2 linked regions of the Ovis aries genome follow. The protein of the gene in region 1 purifies or fractionates together with the protein of each later gene. This does not show direct contact. Links are inferred from orthologs where the notes say so. Each region holds a gene or a part of one and is shown on either strand. Other genes may lie near its edges.

Region 1 (3,651 bases):
TGAAAGAAGAGCCAAGAAGTCTTTATTTTTCAAGAAGTCAACAGAGGATGTTTGGGAACAGATAATCTAGATTATCCAGAGTCACACAATAACACTTAAGCACTACACGATGTTGTGTTCAATTGCGTTTGGTATATTACACCTATTAGGGCATAACACCTAATAAAGTATAAAAAAACAAGCAAAGGAAGAAAAGCGGTTTCTTCCTTTTATTAATCAAAAAATTGAGTAGAAGTCCCTGAATGACACAGATGCAAGATACCAAATATGCAATTTAAAATACTTTGATAAAGTATATTATAACTTCCTCTTCTAATTTTCTGAGGATTCAGTTCAGTTCAGTCGCTCAGTCTTGTGCAACTCTTTGTGACCCCATGGACTACGGCACGCCAAGCTTCCCTGTCCATCACCGACTCCCAGAGCCTGCTCAAACTCTTATCCATCAAGTCAGTGATAACATTCAACCATCTCATCCTCTGTCGTCCCCTTCTCCCACCTTCAATCTTTCCCAGCATCAGAGGCTTTTCCAATGAGTCAGTTCTTTAAATTAGGTGGCCAAAGTATTGGAGCTTCAGCTTCAGCATCAGTCCTTCCAATGAATATTTAGGACTGATTTCCTTTAGAATTGACTGGTTTGATCTCCTTGCAGTCCAACGGATTCTCAAGAGTCTTCTCCAACACCATAGTTCAAAAGCATCAATTCTTTAGCTCTCAGCTTTCTTTATAGTCCAAATCTCACATCCATACATGACTACTGGAAAAATCATAGCTTTGACTACATGGACCTTTGTTGGCAAAGTAATATCTCTGCGTTTTAATATGCTGTCTAGGTTGGTCATAGCTTTTCTTCCAAGGAGCAAGCGTCTTTTAATTTCATGGCTGCAGTCACCATCTGCAGTGATTTTGGAGCCCAAGAAAATAAAGTCTCTCACTGTTTCCATTATTTCCCCATCTAATCTTAACTGAGGATTAGCTTACCTGTAAAAATAAGAGCACCCTCGGACAGTGTTGTGGGTATAGTGTTCCAAGGTCTTTTCATTGCCATAATCCTCGGAGGGATCAGACCAAAGCAGGTCACACACTGGCCCAAAGGCTGGAGGTTCTTTAAACCTGTCTAACTAGAAGACACGCAAAAGCCAAAAGAAGAGAAATCATGAAAGCAAAAGAGCTTTTGGAAACTGTATGTGCATGTTCAGTCGCTTCTGTCATGTCCGCCTCTTTATGACCCCATGGGCTATAGCCCGCCAGGTTCCTTTGTCCACGGGATTTCCCAGCAAGAATACTAGATTGGGTTGCCACGCCCTCCATCTGGGGATCTCCCGGTCCAGGGACTGGACCCTCATCTCTTTAGTTTTCTGCATTGCAGATGCATTCTTTCCTGCTCAGTCTCCGGGGAAGCCCTGGTCGAGGTCAAAAAAAGACCCTTCCAACCATAAGACTGTATTAGGAGAGTGGGCAGTAACCCCTAAAGAATTTTCCTTTAGGATGAAAATGAACATTTAATAAATTTACATGCATAGTTTTTGGTAACAAATTTTAATTAATAAATCCCCTTACGTCCTCATCTTAAAAGTGGTGCTCATTTAATTTGAATGTGAAGTCCATCACTATGGAAACATACTATTTATGAGAAAGACTATTTCAATTGCCTAGGTGAGTCCAGGTTACCATGAGAGCAGCAAGGGTTTTCAATGGCTCTGTTCATTGCTTATCTCATTCCGGTGGAGATTTATTTTAAAGAATGCTAGTTCGGGGGGGGGGGGGTTTGCAAAAGGTTTCATCCTTTCCATTCTCTGCAGTGGAGGCATTTCACCGTAAGTTATTAACTGAAGCCTCTAATCACTGGTGCTTTAGTTAACAAACGAAAACAAAGAAACAAAAGAAAGCACACGCACCAAGTGACCAGGCGAGCTGAATGCCAAGAAAAGGACCCCTACGAAATGAAAGGGGCGCTTTTTACTAACACGACTGATTTAGAATTGTAAAATTTGAGATTCACTATGTAAAACAATGAAAGTGCCACTATGTAAAACAGTGAAAGTGAAAGTCGCTCAGGGTGTCCAACTCTTTGTGACCCCCATGGACTATATATAGTTCATGGAATGCTCCAGGCCAGAATATTAGAGTGGGTAGCCATTCCCTTTTCCAGGGATCTTCCCAACCCAGGGGTTGAATACCAGGTCTCCCACATTGCAGGCAGATTCTTTACCAGCTGAGCTATCAAGAAAGCCCAAGAATACTGGAGTGGGTACCCTATCCCTTATCCACCAGATCTTTCTGACCAAGGAATTGAACCGGAGTCTCCTGCATTGCAGGCGGATTCTTTACCAGCTGTTTATTTAATGACAAGGCAGCAGAAAAGGCTGTGCATTGTTACTACCCTCTTACCCTGAGAATAGTAACTTTAAGTCAGAGAAAAGAGTTTTCCAAACAGAAAATTTTTTAGTTTCTGTAAAAAGAGGAAAGAGAATACCTTTCCTCTCTCTGTATGTAAGAGAGGTAAGAGAATATCTCTTCATGGTTCCATCTTGGAAGTCTGTATGATTTTAAAAATTTGTCTGTTTCTTTTAGGTTGCCCTATTTGTTGGTATATAGCTATTCATAATATTCCGTTGTGGGGCTTCCCTGTGGTTCAGTGATAAAGAATCTTCCTGCCAATGCAGGAGATGCAGGTTTGCTCCTGGGTCGGGAAGATTCCCTGGAGGAGGAAATGGCAACTCACTCCAGTATTCTTGACTGGCAAATCCCATGGACAGAGGAGCCTAGCGGGCTACAGTCCACAGGTCTGCAAAGAGTCAGACATGACTTAGCAACTAAACAAGAGAATGCAAAGGCAGAGGAGAGAAGATGATGACGCAGAACAATATAATTGAAAAAAGACTGATGGCCTTTTTTCAATCATGAAGATACACAGTCCTGAAAATCACGATTACCAACTAAGGCAAGTGTAGCAGTTAAACTCTACCATCTAAAAAGTCGAAGTCAATGAATTTCACAGATGAAGAGTCCTCAGCCCATCCATTTCAACTTCCTCATTTTACAGACAAGAAAATCTAAGAGGTTAAGTGATTTGCTATGGGTTACACAATTAATGGCAGCTTCCCTGGAAGCTCAGATGGTAAAGAATCTGCCTGTGATGTAGGTAAAATGGGTTCAATCCCTGGGTCAGGAAGATCCCCTGGAGTAGGGAATGGCAACCCACTCCAGTATTCTTGCCTGGAGAATTCCATGAACAGAGAAACCTGTCGAGCTACAGTCCATTGGATCACAGTCAGACACAAGTGAGTGACTAACACTTTCACTTCACTATCACATAATTAATGGCAGAACAGGGACTAGAACCCTGGTTTTCTTCCTTCCTTCAGTTCAGTCACTCAGTCATGCCTGACTCTTTGTGACCGCATGGACTGCAAACTCACATCCATCGAGTCTGTGATGCCATTCAACCATCTTACCTCCTGTCCTTATTGCAATATAATTTAAAGTTTCAGGGCTATACTCAAAATATGTTATGTTTCTAGTTTGTAAAAGCCAGGTTTTGTTAAAAGTTAGACATTTACTGGAAGAGATACAGGAAAGATGTTTATAGAAGCTACTGCCCAATAAAAGATCACTGGTGATTTGTTTTTCTTACTTTTAGTTATCCATATT
Region 2 (3,651 bases), about 200 Mb from region 1:
CAGCCCACCAGGCTGCCCTGTCCCTGGGATTCTCCAGGCAAGAACACTGGAGTGGGTTGCCATTTCCTTCTCCAATGCATGAAAGTGAAAAGTGAAAGTGAAGCCGCTCAGTCGTGTCCAACTCTTAGCAACCCCATGGACTGCAGCTCATCAGGCTCCTCCATCCATGGGATTTTCCAGGCAAGAGTACTGGAGTGGGGTGCCATTGCCTTCTCTGATATTCTCATAAAACATAATAAAAATCCCAGAAGGCTGAAAGTGAAAGTCGCTCAGCCGTGTCCGACTCTGAGACCCAATGGACTGCAGCCCTCCAGGCTCCTCTGTTCATCGGATTATCCAGGCAAGAGTATTGGAGTGGGTTGCCATACCCTAATCCAGGGCATCGTCCCAACCCAGGGATCGAACTTGTGTCTCCCTCATTGCAGGCAGATTCTTTACTGTGTCTGAGCCACCAGTGAGCCCCAAAATGCCAAAGCAATGTCTAAAGTTTGGTGCACACTTCTCTACCTGCCATGGACCAATAACAAATTTTGCAAATAGGCAGCTAGCAACTGCTTCCCCGAATCCACACACATTCAACACACTAGCAAAGACAGAGAAAGGTAGGAGGTATGCCTACCTTCTGCTCCGGCACCTCGAACACTGCCTCATGGACTCTGCAAGCAAAAAGTGAGGTAGGCAGGTCACTTAAATCCATCATCTCTTCCAAGTCATCTTCATTTTCACCAAAAACCATCTCTTCTTCCTCTTCGTGGTCAGTGCTGCAAAGATCTGACTGGCTATCATTCCAAGACTTCATAGCGTCCCTCAGCATTTTCCTCTAAAAGCAGATCGTCTCCGTTTTTAAAGTTCGAGGATGTCTACCAGGCATCAAGTGTTTAAAAAAAGAGAAAACAACAGAGATAAGATATTGAAGGTCCAATAAGGTTCCAATCAATTCTCAAGACAGCAATTCATCAAAGGAGGCAATTTTATTCAGGAAAGATCAATCAACTCATCAGGGTCCTCAGCAATGAATTCTATATATACTAATTTGATTTGCTTAGCATATTTTACATAAGATATTTCACAGGCAATGACTTATTATGAAAAATAAAGGCTGGAAGTTTCCTAGTGAAATGAGGTGGTGGGGGCAGGGGGCGGATAATACAAAAGGAGATACTATCAACATACACATCTGTTTACAAGCAGGGGGAAGGAAAACGTGAACCAGAACCTCCTTCCCATATTTGTTTGGGATTTAGGTCCACAACACTGAAACTTGGCAGAGCAGAAGAAAACCCACACGGATTCACTCACCATCTGCACCCTGAAATATGGCCTGCAATGAGCTGACTTCACCTTTTTTAACCAATCTGTTCTTTTGAATATACTCTCGAAGAATTAAGTTACACAGAACCCAAAGCTCTATATAAAGTCGGTCCTTGTTAATATCAGAAATATTAGCTACAGGCAAAATCTGACATAGAAGACAATTTAAAAAATGTCCTTTCAATGAATGCTTAAAAATAAATCCCTTTACCAGCATGGAGCGGATAGTGTCCCTCTGTTAAATAATGGACAGCAACTGCCTTATAAGACTATTTTTACCCGTTTTTATCTCTTCTGATGAACTGCACATGACACCCACCAGGCAGGTGCCTTGAACCTTACACATTTCAAGATGCTGGAATTTAAGTCATTACCTATCAGGCGCAAGAAAATTAAATAAGCATGATTATTACTACCTCAATATTACCTAATCTGTGATTTTTCTCTTTTATTTCAAAGAACACGAAGTTGCAAATAGATTGCTTACAAAGAGTACAATATAGAATGTTAATTATGGGGAAAAAATAGTGATTTCCCCCAGTTATCACACTATATCAATCAGGAAAGGCTAATTCTAAAAAGTAAATCTTCACTTGTTTTTACAAACATTTTCCGAATCTATACTGCATGCCAGGTACAGGGAGCCATGAGATGAATAAAGCATGGTTCCTATCCTCGAGGAGCTCCCACCCAGCAAGAATTTCTCCTCAACGACACCAACCACCTCAAAAGGATCTTGGCACCCACACATTTTTTTGTTTTCTGTGTGCTTTTTTTTTTTTTTTTTAATTTGGCTGCACTGGGTCTTAGCTGCAGCATGAGAACTCTTTTTTTTTTTTTAATTGGAGGATAATTCCTTTACAATGTTGTGTTGGTTTCTGCCATACAACAACATGACTCAGCCGTAGCTACACATAGGTCCCACCCCCTTTCCGATCCCACCCCTCTAGGTTGTCACAGAGCACCTAGTTGAGCTCCCTGAGTTATACAGCAACTTCCCACTAGCTATCTATTTTGCATACGGTAATGCATACGTTTCTGCTCATCTCTCATTCTTCCCTCTCTCTCCTTCCTCCTGGCCCCCCGCCACCAGCCCCCGCTGTGTCCACAAATCTGTTCTCTCTGTCTGCATCTCTATTCCTGCCCAGCAAGTAGGTTCATCAGTGCCATTTTTCTCGATTCCATATATACATGTTAGTATATATTTTTCTCTTTCTGACTTACTCCTCTCTGTATAAAGGCTCTAGGTTCACCCATTCCCCTAGAACTGAGTCAAATTCATTCCTTTTCACAGCATGTGAACTCTTAGTTGCGGCATGCGGTATCTAGTTCCCTGACCAGGGGTCAAACTCGGGTCACTGTTTTAGAGCTCAGAATTTTTTTCCCCCCTCTTTGGCTGCCCTGCACAGCATGTAGAATCTTAGTTCCCTGACCGGGAATCGAACCTGTGCCTCGTGCATTAGAAGCACACAATCTTAACCACTGGACCGCCAGGGAAGCCCTGCCTCCTATAGTTTTAATGTATCGGTCTCCACCCAGTCTTTCTTCTTCCTTAGCAAACATCTACCTGAGTCCCTGCCCCCACCCCACCCCAGTTTTGAAAAAAGAAAAATTTTCCATTTGGAGTCTGCCTGCCCCTCAATCCACCTCCCTGTGTCTCTGCTTCCCCTTTTCTAGAGGCATCCTGGAAAGAGGAATCGCCTTGACTCCCATCACTCCTGAATTCCAGGCAGCTGGACTCCTGTCACCACCTTCCGGCTGAACCGGCCCCGACTGGACAGCAGCAGCCTCCTCGGGGCTGGCACCTGCCTCCGGACGGCCCCGGTCCCACCCATCCACCGTGGGATGTCTCTGTGCCCCTGCCTCCCAGCTCTCCTTCCTCCTCATCTGTCCTCAAAGTGGCTCCTCTCTCTCCACTCAGCCTTTACAACTCTGTCTCCTTGAGGTTTCAACCCCATCCTCTTTGTCATCTTACTCTTCCTGAGCGCTTTCATCCACGCCCCAGCATTTAACTACGCTGCCACCAGTGTTTCTCAACTCTGCTTCCTGCTTCCCTGTGGTTCACCCGCATGACATGTGTCTATCAAGACAGTCTCTTGCTTCCAACAATTATTCTTCAGCCAGGAAAGATGTCACCGAAGTGAAGGGGGAAGCAGGATCTTGGGCACTGGAGGGGATGGTGGTTTGAAAAACAACGTGACCCTGAGAGATTCTAATCTGCCCTCAAGTCCTTCCTGCCTTTGCACACGGAAAATCACAGGTCTGTGTGAGTTACATACCTGGACTCCGCCTCTCCTGAGATCTAGACTTGCAGACTCGTCTTTTTAGCCTTCCACTGAA

Evidence for each region. The genes of interacting proteins can lie anywhere in the genome.
Region 2: the proteins of PPP3CC (region 1) and RCAN3 purify together in Homo sapiens (affinity purification with mass spectrometry; 3 studies listed by BioGRID and IntAct, counting the BioPlex papers as one, with this or other methods). This does not show direct contact. The link is inferred for Ovis aries from reciprocal best matches to the Homo sapiens genes PPP3CC and RCAN3.

Annotation. Positions count from the first base shown.
Region 1 is NC_056055.1:43,134,399-43,138,049, forward strand, and holds part of PPP3CC (serine/threonine-protein phosphatase 2B catalytic subunit gamma isoform), read right to left. Parts: intron 1,119-3,651; coding exon 979-1,118; intron 1-978. UniProt on the Homo sapiens protein: Calcium-dependent, calmodulin-stimulated protein phosphatase which plays an essential role in the transduction of intracellular Ca(2+)-mediated signals. Dephosphorylates and activates transcription factor NFATC1.
Region 2 is NC_056055.1:242,165,769-242,169,419, forward strand, and holds part of RCAN3 (calcipressin-3), read right to left. Parts: intron 861-3,651; 5' UTR 815-860; coding exon 620-814; intron 1-619.